Linked DNA regions of Arabidopsis thaliana. The protein of the gene in region 1 binds, or shares a complex with, the protein of each later gene. Each region holds a gene or a part of one and is shown in the gene's direction. Other genes may lie near its edges. The genes, in order: RRP41 and RRP4.

Region 1 (5,601 bases):
TTTGGTAACAACGTTGATTGGATTTTGGTTTCTTCATCGAGAAACAAAAGGTCAGGGGCAATTTCGGTATCCCAAAAACATTCGCCGGCGAGAGATAAATCCGGTAACAGATACGGATCCGGGAACACCAAACCCGCCGACGATTCTTCTTCTTCTTTTATAACCGTCGACTTTCTCTCCGGAGATAGCTCGATCGCTTCAATCTCATGCTCTGTTTCCTCGTTGACGTTGAATCTTAGAACAGAGGTCGGTGAATGAAGGCTCTGCCGAGAATCTCTACCGTAATCGCAGGCGGAAACCGTTTGGAGATCGATAACCGGCGTTGGCGTCGGCGGAGTTAGGAAATTCGTGAGCGCTTTAGGTCCTTTGAGATGAATCGCGGCTCTATCGTACGCTATAGCAGCTTCCTCCGCCGTGACAAAAGTCCCAAGCCAAATCCGAGTACGGCTCGACGGATCTCTAATCTCCGCCGCGAATTTTCCCCAAGGTCTCTGTCTCACGCCTCTGTACTTTTTAGGCTTCACCGACGTCGACACGTCATCTTCAACCACTACGCTTTCCTCCTCCTTGTGCTTACCTTTCCTCGCCGCGGTGGAGGAAGAAGATTCACCTTGGCAGAATCTAATCTCCTTCACGTATCGTTTCACTCTTGGAACCACCGTGACGTTGTTGTTGTCGTCGTCGTCGCTAGACGAGTCAGTAGCGAAAGGATCAGTAACAGTGATACGGACCAGTCTCGGAGACCCGTTAGATGGTGTAGCTGCTACGTTTGTGACCGTACGATTCTCTGTGAACTTCACTCGTCTCGTTCGTCTCTCCATAGAGAGAGAGAGAGAGAGGGAGTTAAAAAATGAAGAGAGGTTTTTTTCACTGTTTTGAATTTGCAGAGAGAGAGAGAAGAAGAGTCAAAAGGTTAAAGAAGAATCGCCGTTTCTCAGGAACATCCTTCTTAAATACTATTAACTCATCACTATTTTTGGAGATTTTTGTTTAGTAACGTGATTTTTTCTATGTAATTAATTTAATTAGATTTTAACTGTTACAGAGAAATTGATGCGTGTTCAACACTATTCATATGATATGAGACACTGACCCAATCAAAACTCATTCAACCTTATAACTAAACGTATCTTAAAATATAGTTGGTGAAATGACATACGTTTATCAAAGCTTAACCTATTGAAATTTAATCCGGTTAATGGAGTTTATAAACCGGGAATTAGATTTGGATTTAATGTAAAGAGGGACGATGCTTAAGGGCGGTTTCGTGGCGGCCAATGGGGGATCCAGAAACGGCTTTCCGCATCTCAGATTGAGACGTTAGATTTATGACACGTGGTAGTTACCGTACCGAAAGTAGAGCCAATTGTCCTAATCTATAGCTTGGTCTCCAAGCAACTTTTAACTCTTTTACGCGCGGTCTGTTTTACGTTTGCTACACGCGCCGGCTAGTGGGCTCCACGCGTGTGAGATTGGTCACGAGTATGTGTCAATTCGCATTGACCCAATATGGAAATTGTGAAGTTTAATGGTAATGAATCTAACGATGTGTTTGAAAGAGTAATAAAATCTCGTCTTTAATATTAAAATATATTTTTAATTTCGGAAAAAATTTATGATCTTTTGCTTGGAGACCAAGTCTCTTATCAGAAACTTTATTAGAAAAAGCTACTATTAAAAAGGTAACTAGAAATTAGATTTCCATAGTTAATGGTTGAGCTTTGACTAGATTTGGTCCTAAAATAATAATTGAAAAATAAGCTTTTATTATATCGATAATTCTACAAGTTAATATACCAAATCTTGTAACTTACAGTAATTCTATATTGTTTTATTTTGAACCTTATATAACTTACACGAATTCACCTGTGATTTTATAAAAAGATACATGTGATTTCAAGACTTTTTTTTTACGTGGGATTAGTCAGGTACTCGTGTTAAAAGTTAGACCTTAAAAATAACAGTCAGTTTGATTTAATAATAGTTAGTAGTATGTATATGGAACATTAAGTCGGAGAGGGGTTAAACTCTAGTGTATCGGGTTGCTTGGCATGGAACAGATATCGCGGAACCGGTAAGTCGGAGTGGTTAGCTTTCTGGGAGAGTTGTGGTGGGTTGGTGCGACGGCGGAGATAGGTGCAGATGGAAACCGGAATCTTCCAGCTGCGTTTCTCGATCCGTCGTCTGCGGCCGCAAAGCTGTGATGCTTGAGTCCGCCAGATATAAGGCTCCGACCACTCTGCTTCCGACCAGCAGCAAGGTTCGAACCTCTTTGTTTGTCGGTGACTTTTTCTGTTTAACCTATTTTGTAACTGGATTTCATCTGTGTATTGGGTCTTAGCCCATGCCCTATTGGGTTGTTTTTAATATATTAAAAAAAAAAAAATTGTATATGGAACATTAAATTGCATGACATTCGTTAGGATAGTCGTAGTAGGTACTACTTTTACTAGGTAGAGACTAGAGAGTGGTCTCTCTTAAATTGTCTAATATGGTTTTGTATACTTTTTGATCCAAACATACATACATAAAAAAAGAAGATGTTAGCAAACCTTAGTAAATAATTCCATCATCTCCTCCGTCAGGAACCCGTCATTTTCATATACCTCACTTTGCATTCATTTGTCGGCATTGCCACACGTAACTCCCGACACGTTGATACTACTATCAATATACTATTGACTTAGAAATTGATCTAGATACTATATTACTATTACTAATACATACTTGAAATAACAGAGTCAACAAGAAAAGCCTTGATAAAAGAAAACAACAACAATTTGAGCTATACTTTTGAAGGGATCTCACTCTTAATTCTCTTATTGCATGCATGTTCCCGCAATTTTGAGCTTTACTTTTCTTTGCAAGCGAATTACCAATTTGCCTGGCTTCATAAACTAGAAGTTATAAAAAAAAATCCTCCTGTGATTTGACGGTTTTACCCTTAAAATCTCACTTAATTCACAAAAAGGAACCAAAAAGCCCTAATCTTTATGTTGTCGACACTCTTTCAGTTCTCTCGACGCCGTCCATCGCCCTCCGTCATATCGCCGCCGCTAAAGTACTGGCAGAGGTAAATTCGTCTCTTGTTCCCTGTTCTGTGGGATCAGAAAGTATTAAACTTGTTCTGTTTCTGTCTTTCATTGCTCTCATCCTTGATTATCTCTACCTAGAGTTCACAACAATGGAGTACGTAAACCCTGAAGGTCTTCGATTAGATGGTCGCCGATTCAACGAGGTATGTTTGCATCTCTATTCACTGTCTTTGTAAGCCACTGCCTTCACAAGTTAATCGGTCTATTCGTGATTGCTTGTAATGAATCTCAGATGAGGCAAATCGTAGCTGAAGTTGGAGTTGTTTCTAAGGCTGACGGGTAAAACTCAAAATCTGTCTCTTATCTTTTTCCGTATCTCAGTTCTATATTCGGCACTTTTATATGAACAAAAATTCCAACTTTGTTTCCAGTTCTGCTGTCTTCGAGATGGGTAATACCAAAGTAATTGCAGCTGTTTATGGTCCAAGAGAGGTACTTGATTACTCTGTTACTCACCTATCAAGATTGATACTTTAATTGTATAATTCAGCGAATTGGTTATTTCTGTTAATGTGCTCCTTCAGATTCAAAACAAGAGCCAGCAAAAGAAGAACGACCATGCAGTGGTATGTATATGCTTTGATCTTGTTTAGTATTGTTCTTGGTGAATATGGAATGCTTATTGCTAATTGTATGTTTTGGTAGGTGTTGTGTGAGTATAGTATGGCTCAGTTTAGTACTGGTGATCGTAGAAGACAGAAATTCGACAGGTTACATTTTACTATATAGCTGAGAGACTCTTTGCTTTTTCTTACGAAAATCATAAAGTTTGAATTGTTGTGTATTATGATGGTCAGGCGATCAACAGAGCTATCTCTTGTCATCCGTCAGACAATGGAAGCTTGCATATTAACCGAATTGATGCCTCACTCTCAGGTTTACTTTTTACTCTCCGGCGATATTGAAATCTAAATTTTCTTTCTTCCTCCTCCTTTTGCTTGCTTCCTGATGAATTGTTTCCTTTATGCAGATCGATATTTTCCTTCAGGTTCTACAAGCTGATGGAGGTAAAATTAAACTAAACCTCTGTTCTGAAGTTGACCTTTTGATCTCTTTCAATCTCTGATCAGCCATTAGTGTTATGTTCTGTAATCAGGAACAAGATCAGCTTGTATCAATGCCGCGACTCTAGCTCTAGCAGATGCTGGAATTCCAATGCGTGATCTCGCTGTTTCCTGTAGTGCTGGATATTTAAACAGTACTCCTCTTCTTGATCTGAACTATGTTGAAGACAGTGCTGGAGGAGCTGATGTAACCGTCGGTATTCTACCTAAATTAGACAAAGTGTCACTCCTTCAGGTTTTTCTTCAACTCTTCATATCAGATTTCTATACATTCGCATTCAGATGATTCTAGACGCTTACGTTTGGGTTTAATGTGTAGATGGATGCCAAGTTACCGATGGAAACATTTGAGACAGTGTTTGCATTGGCTTCTGAAGGTTGCAAGGCAATTGCAGAGAGAATACGCGAGGTAACAATGGACTTCTGAATCTTTCTAAGTTTTCCCTTTCCACCATTGAAAAGCGTTCTTTGTTTTCTAAGTCTTTGGCTCTTCTGTCTTTGTGAAGGTACTTCAAGAAAACACCAAACAGCTAGAGTATCGCCGAGCTGCATAAACTTTAGAGTTAGAGAAAAAAACGTAAAGCTCCAAGATTTTTGTTAATTAGATTTTGCTGTTGTTTGTGGAAGTTGAGGATAAAAAGCTAGTAGTGCAAACTCTTTTTGGGAAAAATGAATCAATTTGGTAAAAAGATCAAACTGAATCGATTGAACACAACTTGTCCTCACATTCTTACATTAAGCCGAGGAAAAAAAAGACCAGAGGCTTTTTCTGTCACTACATCACAAGACTGGTCTGAGAAATCACCAGGTCATAAGCTCTAATGTGATAAAACAAGAATCAACAAAAAGAAAGAGATAAAAGAAACGGTGGCTCTGCTCTTCCAATGTTGCATACAGAAACTAGAGTCAGAATCCCTTGCTCTGTAGTTCGAGTTGATCGAAGCAGAAACTGGATTTAACAGCGGTCAATATTAGCCGGCCGGTCCATTCTTCTCCTGGCTTCAAAGTGATCGGTCTCTCCACTGCTGCACCATCCACACAAAGCATGCTTTTGTACTCTTCATCACCAAAATCCGCCATTGTTTTCGATTTCTTCTCCCATGGATTCCACACCACTGTACCATCCATCACGATTAATGAATCATATCATATACAACAAACAAGTAATCGAAACGAGTTGTTGTGCGATTATTACCGGTGTCTGGAAGTCCTTCCTTTCCGATAACATATGTTCTTTTCCGTTCATGATCAAGAACTGCAACCACCTTTGGTGATCTAAGGTATGTCCGGTCCATCTGAAACATGAATCAAAAGAAACTTCTGATATGAAGTAACCGAGCAAAGATACTTGTTCACTATCGATAACTGCAGAATCTTGTTAAGGTTTACCTCGGATTCAAAGGTTATTGCATCGCCTTGTTCAGTCAAAAGCTGTCTTTGGC
Region 2 (4,222 bases), on another chromosome or scaffold:
TGTAAAATAGAAACGTTGAAGAGAAAAACAACTGAAGAATGGGGGCAAAGCGCCAGAAACTTGTAAAAACAAGTAAAAGGATTGGCAAAAGTAAGAAAGCACACCACTTTAAAACTAACATTAAGCTTTGGATGATGATGATTCTTCTTCGTCATCTTCATCAATGTCCCAACTTAAATCTTCATCTTCCTCTGCAGCACTCAGACGTTTACGCAGCTCAGCTCTGTTTGGACTACCACCAGACCGACTCGTTTCCTTACCATCTATGCTACTCATATCCTCGATCTCGTCCCATCCCAAATCCTCTTCAGATGGTTGTTGAGTTGATGAAGAAGCAGCCACATCTGGTTTAGCTGAGTCTTGGGATGGAGCAGCCTCATCAGATTTTGGTTTGACAGAATCTTGGATTGGAGCCTCATCAGATGTTGGTTTGACAGAATCTTGGATTGGAGCCTCATCAGACGCAGGAGGAGCAGCATCAACAAATGATTTTTCTTCTGGAACTTCCTCACTATCAGTCTCCTTCTTTTCCTCAGAATCTTTATCTGTCTTCAAACCAACATTGCTCACTTCAGTCACTGAATCTGCACTTGTCACTTCATCTTGCGTGCTCACTTTAGCCACTGAATATGTACTTTCCACTTCATCTTTCACAGTTTCACTCACATCTCCACCACCCATACCATCATTCCCTTCAAGTTTCAACCTTGAAACATCTTTGGTAGCTTCAACAACTTTCTCGCTGCTCTCCTCTTCATCATCAATATCCCAGCTCAATTCTTCTTCATCATCCAGAGAGATGGCTCGTTTCACAAGATTAGCCCTTAAATCCTCAGCTTGCTTGAGCTTGTTAACCCTATAGAAATACCTAAACCAGAAGGTCTCGTGATCAACCATACTCGGAACGACCCTTTTATACACTCCTTTCATATCACCATTTTCCTCCAACAATTTCTCCATCTCCTCAGCTTTTCCATCCAGAGAAAACGCAGATTCCCACTTTTTGTAATCATCTGAATCCTCAGGCTCTTCACAGTAAGTGTTGAGATCTCCTTGAACAGCACGAATCTGAGCATCGAAACGACTATATGGTTTCGAACTGAAGCTATCACGACGACCAAAACTCTGACTACTATTGTTATCAGAAGAATCAGATTCATTACCAGCGGCTAAAATCGCTTCCTTACCTTGAGCAATAATCTCAGCCGTACCTTTTAGCACCGTGTTCCCAAGCTCATCAATCGCATGTCCCACCGTACCAAGCGATCCCTGAGCCACCTCGATCTCTTTCTTCAAACCTGTGCCAAATTCTTCGAGATCTCGTCGGTAGGTTTCAATCACGGATTCGGATCTGGTGGCTAGAGTTTTCATCAGACCACCGAAGCTCCATCCACCGTCGTCGTTAGATTCAGATTGCTCTGGATGTTCTTGCTCTGGATGTTCATGCTCTTCGCTGTGTTTCGGTGAATCGGATTCGGATTCGGTTTCTGGAGGATCTAGGTCTTCCGTGAAGACGGATTTGAAGAAATTCATAGCGTAAAGCTCAGATCTTACCAATCGGTACTCTCAGATAATTTGTTTGATCCGTGAAAGAATCAATTTGAAGAGTGAAGGATTCGAATTAGCGTCAGAAATAGGAAGATCACAAAAGACTTGAAGCTTGTCGCTGCAGAGACGTCTAATTTTTTTCCCATTTTTTTAATGAAGATAAATAATACTTTATTTGGCGTCAATTATCAGATTAATGGGCCAGAAGTTTTATAAATGGGCCAGAAGTTGGATATGTTAGTCCAACAAATAACACAAAACCCTAGAATTCATTCAAGGGAACTAACGTCAAGGTTTTTGCTCTTCTTCTCTCCCAAGTCCCAAACTCGTTTTGCATCGCCATTGTTGTGTTGCTGGAGCTAAATAGAGAGAAAGAGAGAGAGTGTCTGTGATGGTGATGAGAAAGCTACAGTTACCGTTGAGCCAGACGCAGAAGGTTAGGTTTGAGAGAGCAATCGAGCGGCTTCAATCACTGTCGTCGTCGGCTAACTCTGACGCTTCTGTTATCGTCACCGACTCTATTCCCGTCAACCATGACGATGCCTTCCTCAAGTAATTTCATCTCATTCTCCCTTCTGGATTGAAATTTTTGTCAAATTGCGTTTTCACGATTGGTTTTTTCATTAAAGGGGACATGGAACTTCCGAGGTCGATGGTGAGTTGCTCGCGACGGTCTGTGGAGTAGTGGAGCGTGTGGATAAGCTTGTCTATGTACGCACCTTGCGAGCCAGGTCTGTGATTGATCTTTGAATTTGTTTAGTTTCCCAGAAAATGTGAATAGAATGGACTCTCTACTCTGAGATTAAGTAGAACTGATGGTTTTGATGATCTACGTTTTAGGTACAAGCCTGAAGTTGGGGATATTGTGGTAGGCCGTGTCATTGAGGTAGATTTTTGTTTTGGTGTTTGGATTTTTGAAATCGGATTGAGTGAGTAACATAAAGGTTTCAATCACATTGCACAGTTACTGGATTGATCTTTACTTATTCAGGTTGCTCAAAAACGTTGGAGAGTGGAGCTCAACTTCAATCAGGATGGAGTACTGATGCTTTCTTCCATGAACATGCCTGATGGTATTCAGGTACAGTTTGATTCTTGATATTTTGCCATTTGGATGATTGCTTTTGGCTTCAATGATATAAGTTTATTGTTGTTGCCAGAGGCGAAGAACCTCTGTGGATGAACTCAATATGCGGAATATCTTTGTAGAGCATGATGTCGTATGTGTAAGTCCTGTGATTAGTAATGTTCCAATCTTTACATATCTTAACAGTTACGTCAACCTGACTAAAAGGGTTCCCTCTTTGGTTTGTTCAAACTCTTAGGCTGAAGTACGCAACTTTCAGCATGATGGTAGCTTGCAGTTACAAGCCAGAAGTCAGAAGTATGGCAAGGTTGGTTCTCATTTGGTCACATGCTCATGTAGTTATACCTTTCGCTAGTCTCTTCCTCTGAACATTGATTAATCCATGAATCGCTACAGCTCGAGAAGGGACAACTTCTGAAGGTCGATCCTTACTTGGTTAAGAGAAGCAAACATCACTTTCATTACGTAGAAAGTCTTGGGATTGATTTGATTATTGGCTGCAATGGTTTCATATGGGTTGGAGAACATGTCGAAGTGAGAGATCCTATGGCAATAGATGATCAGAAAGATGAGGAAATGATCTCATCCTCCTCCACAGGAAAAGAGCAAAGCCATATTCCACTCGAGACTCGACAAACCATATGCAGAATCGGGAATGCGATACGTGTCTTGTCTAATCTAGGCTTCACCGTGACACTAGAAGTAATCATGGAGACTGTTAACCTCAGTAACTCAAAGAATATTGACATACATGATATGCTTGGATCAGAGTTTCACGTTGTGGTAGCAGAGAATGAAGCTGAAAGAAGACGTACAAAGAGGAAAAAGTGAAAACTACCCCTTTTTGTCACTGATGTATCAGAGACTTGTAACGTGTATTAGATCATTCGGTCTTGTTTGTTACTCAGCTTCTATTGAAAGTTCGAATTTTAATCTGATTGAGATATGTAGTATGATGGATGTGTTTGATACTATTAACTGTACATCAGATTAGATTAGTCGAGTTATGTCTTTTGGAGACGGCTTTCTTCTTTCATTCATGAATTTATCGGTTTCGACTTTTGTAGCTGAAATTCGTTTTGTGAAAGGATCTACAGTTGCAGAAACAACATAGAAAAGATTCGCTGCCCTTTTTAGCTCGGAGAAGGGATAATTGGGAAATGACTAAAATACCCTCATGAGAATCCAAGTAATAACAGCGATTACCAAACCTCTTCTCTCATTCACGAAACAGTGTTCTACGGCCAATTTCTCTCGCTCGCTCCACACTCCCAAAACAATATTCTTCTTCTTCGATTTCTCACTCTCTGTTTGTCGCTACCGATCTTATTTCCCGCTATTTTTGTTCCGGCGCCGTTCTCCTTAAAGTCGCTATTGTCTTCGTTGAAGGTCAGTTTACGGCCTTTTTTAAATCCATTTTGGTGTATTCGTGATTGTTTGTGGGTTGAATGATCGTGCGATTATTTGGGGTTTTTAATTAATTTCGATTCAGTAACGGTTCTGAATTGCATTGCGATTAAGCACTTAATCAGAAAGTAGTACGCTTTAGATTTGAGGAATCTCTGTACATTTACTAGGCAAAAAGTT

The links.
Region 2: RRP41 (region 1) and RRP4 share a complex: the UniProt entries of both Arabidopsis thaliana proteins name them as parts of the RNA exosome complex.

Annotation. Positions count from the first base shown.
Region 1 is NC_003074.8:22,800,494-22,806,094, reverse strand, and holds RRP41 (3'-5'-exoribonuclease family protein), read left to right. Parts: upstream 1-1,990; 5' UTR 1,991-2,260; intron 2,261-2,902; exon of another isoform or gene 2,903-3,014; 5' UTR 3,015-3,073; intron 3,074-3,173; 5' UTR 3,174-3,184; coding exon 3,185-3,238; intron 3,239-3,327; coding exon 3,328-3,374; intron 3,375-3,466; coding exon 3,467-3,527; intron 3,528-3,619; coding exon 3,620-3,661; intron 3,662-3,740; coding exon 3,741-3,805; intron 3,806-3,892; coding exon 3,893-3,971; intron 3,972-4,065; coding exon 4,066-4,102; intron 4,103-4,191; coding exon 4,192-4,394; intron 4,395-4,478; coding exon 4,479-4,568; intron 4,569-4,665; coding exon 4,666-4,713; 3' UTR 4,714-4,874; downstream 4,875-5,601. Other genes in the region: CRF6 (cytokinin response factor 6), read right to left, coding at 1-821; AT3G61610 (Galactose mutarotase-like superfamily protein), read right to left, coding at 5,066-5,274, 5,355-5,454, 5,549-5,601. UniProt on the Arabidopsis thaliana protein: Non-catalytic component of the RNA exosome complex which has 3'->5' exoribonuclease activity and participates in a multitude of cellular RNA processing, maturation and degradation events.
Region 2 is NC_003070.9:822,714-826,935, forward strand, and holds RRP4 (ribosomal RNA processing 4), read left to right. Parts: upstream 1-1,803; 5' UTR 1,804-1,939; coding exon 1,940-2,100; intron 2,101-2,177; coding exon 2,178-2,279; intron 2,280-2,388; coding exon 2,389-2,434; intron 2,435-2,539; coding exon 2,540-2,629; intron 2,630-2,708; coding exon 2,709-2,774; intron 2,775-2,873; coding exon 2,874-2,942; intron 2,943-3,031; coding exon 3,032-3,466; 3' UTR 3,467-3,686; downstream 3,687-4,222. Other genes in the region: AT1G03350 (BSD domain-containing protein), read right to left, coding at 121-1,533. UniProt on the Arabidopsis thaliana protein: Non-catalytic component of the RNA exosome complex which has 3'->5' exoribonuclease activity and participates in a multitude of cellular RNA processing, maturation and degradation events.